Linked DNA regions of Xenopus tropicalis. The protein of the gene in region 1 interacts with the protein of each later gene in a biochemical or structural test. Links are inferred from orthologs where the notes say so. Each region holds a gene or a part of one and is shown on either strand. Other genes may lie near its edges.

Evidence for each region.
Region 2: of the proteins of mbp (region 1) and cdk9, one has a biochemical effect on the other in vitro, tested with the Homo sapiens proteins (2 studies listed by BioGRID). The link is inferred for Xenopus tropicalis from reciprocal best matches to the Homo sapiens genes MBP and CDK9.

Annotation. Positions count from the first base shown.
Region 1 is NC_030682.2:98,825,140-98,829,605, reverse strand, and holds the start of mbp (myelin basic protein), read right to left. Parts: upstream 2,962-4,466; 5' UTR 2,767-2,961; intron 1-2,766. UniProt on the Homo sapiens protein: The classic group of MBP isoforms (isoform 4-isoform 14) are with PLP the most abundant protein components of the myelin membrane in the CNS. They have a role in both its formation and stabilization.
Region 2 is NC_030684.2:24,559,255-24,562,824, reverse strand, and holds the end of cdk9 (cyclin-dependent kinase 9), read left to right. Parts: coding exon 1-58; intron 59-849; coding exon of another isoform or gene 850-867; coding exon 868-1,046; intron 1,047-1,128; coding exon 1,129-1,300; intron 1,301-1,910; coding exon 1,911-2,059; intron 2,060-2,371; coding exon 2,372-2,737; 3' UTR 2,738-3,053; downstream 3,054-3,570. UniProt on the Homo sapiens protein: Protein kinase involved in the regulation of transcription.

The DNA.
Region 1 (4,466 bases):
ATCTATTGCAATAAAAAACATCAAATTAGTGCCATCTATTTTTTCACAGTAGTCTTATTTGTCAGATATGGTATTTGGTTGCCAGAGGCAAAAGTCACGACAAATGAAATAAATACATTGCCTTTATGTGTTAGTGCAAACCTATATTAAGGGCAGCAGGAAGTGTTCTCATTTATCCTACTTATTTTCTTATTAATTATTTTATAATCCATACAGTCTTAGATTACATAGGTTAAAAACAGATATCAGTTACCAAAATATACTCTAACACTTTCTTTACACTGCTGACTTTCATCAGATCAAATCTTTTGTTAAACTGGCAAATTCACCCCATTCAGTGAGGTCCCCAAAAAGCGGATCTCTATTCACCCATACCCTGGGCCGAATTGGGCTCTGGTCATTGCCCCTGGGGCAAACAAACGCATCATACAGTGATGCCTACATACACAAGCCAATAAGCTGATAACTCGATCTGGAGGGACCACGTCAGCAGCTTCAATCAGCCTGTGTATTGCCAGCTTTAGGGTAAGTACCTAGACTCAGTCGTCAGCGATAGATCTCTGCTATTGTGGGTGACAAACCGCTCCGAAAAGGCAACAATAGGAGTTGCTTGTGAAAAGCCCCTCTGAACCACTCCATGGGTTCTTACCCTTATGGGTGAAGACACATGGAGCTACTTAGTAGCAACCACTTGTCACAGCTATTAAACACCAGAAAATACCCTGCCATAGACAATACTGAGACCTGCCTCTTGTAAAAAATACATAAAGGCAATTATCAGTAAAAAATCAGCATTGCCTATTGTATTAACCGTGACAAGTAGCTGCTACTAGTAGCTCTGTGTGTCTTCACCCATAAGAGTAAATATATATATATATATATGATCCGGTGCGGTATTGAACTGATTAGCAACTGGGCCACATGAACGGATACTTCTCACGGCTACTAAACACCAGAAAATACCCTGCCAAAGACAAAAATGAGAACTGCCTCTTGTAAAACACATGTAGAGACAATTATCAGTAAAAGATCAGCATTGCTTATTTTAGTAGCTGTGACAAGTAGCTGCTACTAGTCGCTCTGTATGTCTTCACCCTAAGGTGGCCATAAATGATCCTGCGCAGTATTGAACTGATTGGCAACTGGGCCACATGAACAGATACTGTACAAAGGGTCATCCATGGCAGTCACCTTTATATTGTTATCTTCATTTGGAATGAGAGCACAAACAGAAAAGCAGGAAGTGAAAAAGAGACGCAGCTTTCTCATCTGCTGAAGCACTATGCACTGGTGGAAATAGTAAAATGGCAAATGAAGTTTTCCCTGCTAGATTAATGAACCGACAAATATCTGTCATGAGACTGACTTGGTAAAAATGATTTGAGAGGAAATGAGTGGGTGTTGTGGTTTCTCTAACTTGCCTACCTGTCAATACCCAAGCACCCACCCACATGTGGCATCAGCAGGTACATTAAGAGCTTAAGACTGAAATGCAAAGATGTTGCAGGCAGTGTGGTTGATGATAAAGCAGTGTGGCTAAAAATGGACAAACTGCCCCAATAAATATAAGTATGTTTGGCCTCCTTCACATTCAAAACTTCTGTTTTATAGCACTGCGGAATACAATGGCATCTTACATGTTTATGTTAATAATAATGTGTAAGAAATGGATATAAACCATGCTATATACAGAGGTTTCTACACGTGCTACAGTTCTTGCCAGCCTAACAGCACATCCCATTTTATCTCTATAGAGTTGCCCAGAAAATGAATGTCTGTGTGATTTCCGTGAAACCAGCAGAAAGGCATTTACATTCCAACATAAATTTTCCCTCTGAAAATGGAATCCAGCAGAGTGGTGTGTAAATCTGTGTCATGGCATGATATGAAGCTCTGCAGCATGACTGAGGCCTCCCTGTAATAAGTACAGCCCTGAGGTAAATTGCCCTACTACATAGGATAATAAAAATGATGATGGAGGCTGAGAGGATTAGGCAATGATTTAATTGTGTGCATTGCATGATATGCTGGCAGCCAAGCCACAGGTGTTCAAAGCAGAGAAAGGAAGTGACAAACACACCACATTATTTTGCTATCTTCTTCCCTCACTTTACTACAGCTCAGCTTCCTGGGTGGGGGGCGGGGAATACAGAAGTTGTTGGTTTTTTTTTTTTTTTGCCTTCTTGAAAAAAAAATAGTAAGTTGACAGTACATGAAACCGGAAGCGACCTGAGCAAAACAGCAATAGTAGAAAGGGCTTCCGTCAGGCACCAATGGCCCAACTACAATGGCACTATACCCAGTGCCCCCCATTGATATATATATGGTTGTCTCTCCTATTCTGTGGCCCAAATCTACTTGGCTTTCGTTTAGCCTGTGGGCCCCCGGCTACTGAACTACAACTTCCAAGATATCAGTGTTTCCTGGGGGTAATAGTTAATAACAGCTGGAAGGCCGCACGTTAATCAAGAAGTGTTCTCGGTGTAACCTACATCTACTGCAATATATATATATATATATATATATATATACACACACACAGAGAGAGAGATAGATTTCCTGTCAGTCCTGTGTGCAATAAGCGAGCAGCTCCAGGCGCGATCTCTGGCTGCAGGAGCCCATTACATTCCAGTCTGGGGAATCTGCTCCATGGCACCGTGTTTATGGAATGGGAGCGTCGGGGCAATAAAAGCCAATGCTGACCCTGCACGCATGATATACAAACAGGGCATAGGAAGGGGGAGGGACACCCGCTATAGCACCCACCGTTTACACATAAAGGCGCCTCCCGTGGGTCCGAGGACTGCAGAGCGATGAGCAGCGATGGAGAGGTGGGGGGCAGCTCTGGGGAGAGCCTTCAGCTGATCTCTGAGGTGAGGGGGCTGTAGGTGACACCAGGCTGTGCAGTCTTCCTCGCAGCGGGGCTCAGCACCGTATCCCTCCTCCCGCCTAACCAGCCTGCCCCACCCCCAGCAGTGTGTGCAGGTTACAGCAGCACCGGGATGGGGCCGTGGAAACCTTCTTCCTGCAGCGCAAAGAGGTGCAGCACCGTGCGTGATTTCTCCCCTTCCGTGTGGGTGCTGCTGCTAATGTCAGTGCGGACTCGGAGGTAATAATGCGCCCCCTGCTGGAATGCCATTGCATTCTCTCCCCGTGTGCTGCAAACCTGGCTGCCTTAGTTCTAGGGCGCTCACTAGTATGAAGGTGAGCTGTGTCACCTCAGTGGGACGGCCATTAGCAAGAATGCTGTGTACTGTGAAATGTTGGTAATAGTGAGGCAGAATGGGATAGCAAAACTGAAAACTAAGGGTAATACCTCAGTGACATTCTCTGCCATCTCACCAGAAACGTGATAACTGCCTACAGACCTGACACTTTAATAAAGCCTTCAGAAAGGTTTTTAAACACTCATAGCGACCCTGCCCTAAATATATCTTTGCAAAAGTAACAACAGGAATTGCAAGGGGTGGCACAGTAAGATCATGTGCACACAAGTGCTGGAAATCATGGTGACTGCACTGCTTGTGATCCAGCATCCCCCCTAGCTGTATAAAAGGCTCCCCCCATCATAATCCATTAAGAGGAGTCTCCCACATCATCACTTCAGCCCTCTCTGGTGTATTTTGTCCTACTTTTGCCCCACTGGAAGCCAACTTTTTTTTAAACCTGGGAAACCATTACATTTGTTAGAAAAGCGGCCCAGGTGCTATTTATTTTTTATTTTTTTGGTCCAGGTGATCTTTTCACTTCTCATTACCTCCCATTCTCAGGCTACTCTAATCTCCTTTTACCCAATACTGAAGTCAGGCCTGGTACCTCAGTCCTCAGGGCTGTGGAGTTGATACATAAATCCTTCAAGTCCGACTCCTTAGTTTATGGTACCTTGACTCCGACTCCTGGTACCTAAAATTGCTTTTGACTACAACTCTGGACCCACAAATCTATCTCCACAGCCCTGGCAGGGCTATGGAGTCCACACATAAATCCTTTGACTCTAACAGCTCAGTTTATGTTCCTCCGACTCCGGGTACCCAAATTTGCTTCCGATTCCATCCACCCTGCCAGTCCTGCAAGGCAGCAGTTCACTGCTGTGCTGCTAACCAATGAGCAGCTTATCCCCCTGTGTATGGGGACCTCCAACAGCTCTATCCAACTGTTCTCTGACCAAAAATCGACTGTCGATCAGGCAAGTTTGGTTTTTTTAGACAGATCAGGGACCGCATTGGCTCATGGATGCGGTCCTCACTCCAACCACTCCTATCTCTGTTGTTTTAATTAAGCCTGATAGCACCCACTTTACGTGGGCATACTGGGGAAAAATCTGCTTTTTTGGGATATCGCCAAATGAGCAAATCTTATAATGTATGGGCACCTTTACCCAAGACAAATCTTTCATTGATTCTACAATAAAATGGTAGATGCCTTCGACAGATAGAAATGTACAATGCACTTGTCTTACACAGAAC
Region 2 (3,570 bases), on another chromosome or scaffold:
CTGCAGCTGCTGAAACACGAGAACGTAGTTAACCTCATAGAGATCTGTCGGACAAAAAGTAAGAAACATTTTGTGTCTCTCTCACTTTGTGCTGCATGTGCTGTGTTGGGGGGTTGCAGCTTGGGTGGTGGCTTTTACAGCCAAAGACACACACAGCATGGTTGTTGTGAATGTCCTGCCCCTTAGACTCCCTATCTCTGTCTGGCTCTGTCTTTCTTATCCTGCTTCAATTGAAAACCAAGCCAATGCCATACACATTGCATGGAAGCTGCAGCATCTCCTCTGCCAGGTGTAGAACAACCCAGTCCTTAAACCCAGTGACCCAGTCCTTCAACACAGTTTAGGTGGTGTTGGAGGGTTTCCAGTGGACTTGACAGTATTGGCTTATAAGCAATTTGACTGGGAGGGGAGTGTAGGGAACCTTGCTAAAGCAGATCACTCTATTTGTCAGGGGCTGACTTTGCGCCCTTTTGGTATATCAGTCATACTCTATTGCTACCCCTGCTGCCATAAGTCTAAATAGCAGTGCAGTGAGCTTTGCTATATATATGCATCGCATTGTTTTGGGGTAGACTCTTGCTCAATAAATTTGGTTACCTCTCTATGGCCCTTTAAAAGAAATATGTTCCTGGCAGGGGAGAGTGGGGTATAAAAGTGGAACCTAGCAAGACCAAATTATTTTTGGAACTATGTAGAATGCTAAGGCATAAACTCATAGCCAGAGTTGTGCCACAGTGCCTGCATTTGGTATGAGGGTCCCTGATGGACACATTTGGTCCTGCTTGGTGTCTGCCCTTTGTAAATGTGCAACTGTTGTGCTTATGCTGCTTTTGTGGGGCCGTGCTCTAGACTCTCTTGCCCACCTAGTTTCTCCCACAGCCAACCAGTACAATAGATGCAAAGGAACTATTTTCCTGGTGTTCGACTTTTGTGAGCATGATCTAGCAGGCTTGCTGAGCAATGCTCATGTCAAGTTCACGCTCTCCGAGATCAAGAAGGTAATGCAAATGCTGCTCAACGGCCTCTACTACATTCACCGGAACAAGGTGAGCAAGTGCTCCATTCTCTTCCCATCCTGGGCATTTACTGTTCTTGTAGGACCTGTGTCTAATGGACTCATGCCCACAGATCCTGCACAGAGACATGAAGGCAGCAAACGTACTGATCACCAGGGACGGAGTGTTGAAACTTGCAGACTTTGGGCTTGCCAGAGCATTCAGCCTTGCCAAGAACAGCCAGCCAAACAAGTACACCAATCGCGTGGTTACGCTCTGGTATCGGCCCCCTGAGCTACTCCTAGGTAAGGACGGTCATGTGGTTATATGCACTAATAAAGTCTGAATCCCCCAAAAAGGGAAGCTGTCGGGTCATAACATTCATGTCTGATGGAAGCCATAATAATAGTCTTTGCAATTGATCCAGCTCTGATGCAGGATATACTGTTAGCTAATGTATATCTTAAAGGGGACTTTAACTTTTAGCATGTTTATAGCAGCTTTTCAGTAGGTCTTCATTTTTTATTTATTGTTTTTGCTTTCCCCTTCTGACTCAGCTTTCACATGGGGGTCACTGACCCCAGTAGCCAAAAAACTATTGCTCTCTGAGGCAACAAATTTATTATTGTTGTTACTTTTTATTATCTTTCTAGTTAGGACCCCCTTTATTCATATTCCTGTCTCTTTCAAACCTTTGCCTGGTTGCTAGGTTAAATTGGGTCCTAGCAACCCAATAGCTGCTGAAATTCCAACTTGAAGAGCAACTGAACAAAAAAAACTAACACAAATGAAAAAACAAAAGTCAATTTGCAAATTGTTTCAAAATAGCACTCTGCATTAAATTAAAAGTTAATTTAAAGATGAACTACCCCTTTAAACAGTGTGGATAATATTTTTCCCATTTTCTGCTTGTAGGAGAGCGTGATTATGGTCCTCCCATTGATTTGTGGGGAGCAGGGTGCATCATGGCTGAGATGTGGACCAGAAGCCCCATTATGCAGGGGAATACGGAGCAGCATCAGCTAACACTCATCAGCCAATTATGCGGTTCCATCACACCAGAGGTGAGTTTTAATGAATTGCTCTGGTCCAGGATCATATCTAGGACTAAGTGGTCTCATTGGTCGTGGGATAACTAAACTAAAAAAAAGCAATTTACATTAATTATGTTTTATTCAGTTTCAGAGCTATTTAAGTATTTAAAGTTTTTAACTGCCAATAATGAATTTTTTAACAATGCTGTCACCTGCTGGTTGGTTCCTGTAACTGTTGTATTCTGATGTTGCTCTGCTTAGGAAAGAGATCAGAACCCTTAGATATCTGTAAATCTAATTAAACACCTAAACCGGATAGTTTATTTTATTAATATATTTTAGGTCTGGCCAAATGTGGACAAATATGAGTTGTACCAGAAGCTGGAACTGCCCAAAGGCCAGAAAAGAAAGGTGAAGGAAAGGTTAAAGGCTTATGTGAAAGATCTCTATGCACTGGACCTTATAGACAAGCTGTTGGTTTTGGACCCGGCTCAGAGAATCGACAGTGATGACGCCCTGAATCATGATTTCTTCTGGTCTGACCCGATGCCTTCTGATCTGAAGAACATGCTCTCTACTCACAATCAGTCCATGTTTGAATACTTGGCACCTCCTAGGAGAAGAGGCGGGCACATGCCCCAACAGCCAGCCAATCAGGCACGGAATCCTGCTGCCACAAACCAATCAGAATTTGACAGAGTCTTTTAAAGACATTCTTTATTATTTATTGGGAGGAAAAAAAAGACTTTTTTTAAAAATATATATATATTTTTTTTAATTCCTTTGTAAGTAAGCCTGTATAGTATGGGGAATAAGGACTAGCTGCATACTTTTGTTAGCATAATGATATTCAGAAGCGTGGCATTCGTGAAACAAAACTTTTAACTGTGATACTTAATCTAAAACTCTTGCTACCATGCTGATACACACTGGTCAGTGAATCGAAAGTTTTCCGAACAGCTTTCTGTGCTGCTGTACCTATGTACTTGATAGGGAATGTAAATAAAGTTTTATGTTCTCCTATTATTTTATGGCTTTCTTTCTTGCCATTTTAAATTATTATTAACATTTATTTATAAAGCACCAACATATTCCGCAGCGCTGTAAATAATCTGTTATTTCCATGGAACATAGGTTGTGTTCTCCACCAGTGTTTTTCAGCCAGCACATGCTGGCCATGCTGTTTTATTGGGAAATACAGGTAAAGTTTGAATAAATCATGGGCCCGGATTCTCCAGGCAGACACTGACTAGTGATGAGTGATAACATGCTGCCTACCCTGTTTCCACATTTTGGGGGATGGCCATTTTATGTATAAAACATACATTGGTTTGCTAAGTGGCCTAGTCCCTGCCCATAAATTGCTTCTACAGATATTCAGCCAATCAACTAATCATGTGATCCAATTGTTACTGAGTGGGCTACAGTTGAAACAGGGTCATCCATTGATAAGAATTGCCATGTTTGTGTATAAGGCCAGTTTGTACATATATTTGACTGGACGACTAGATATTCCAGAATGCTTTGGGCCTTTCCTAGTG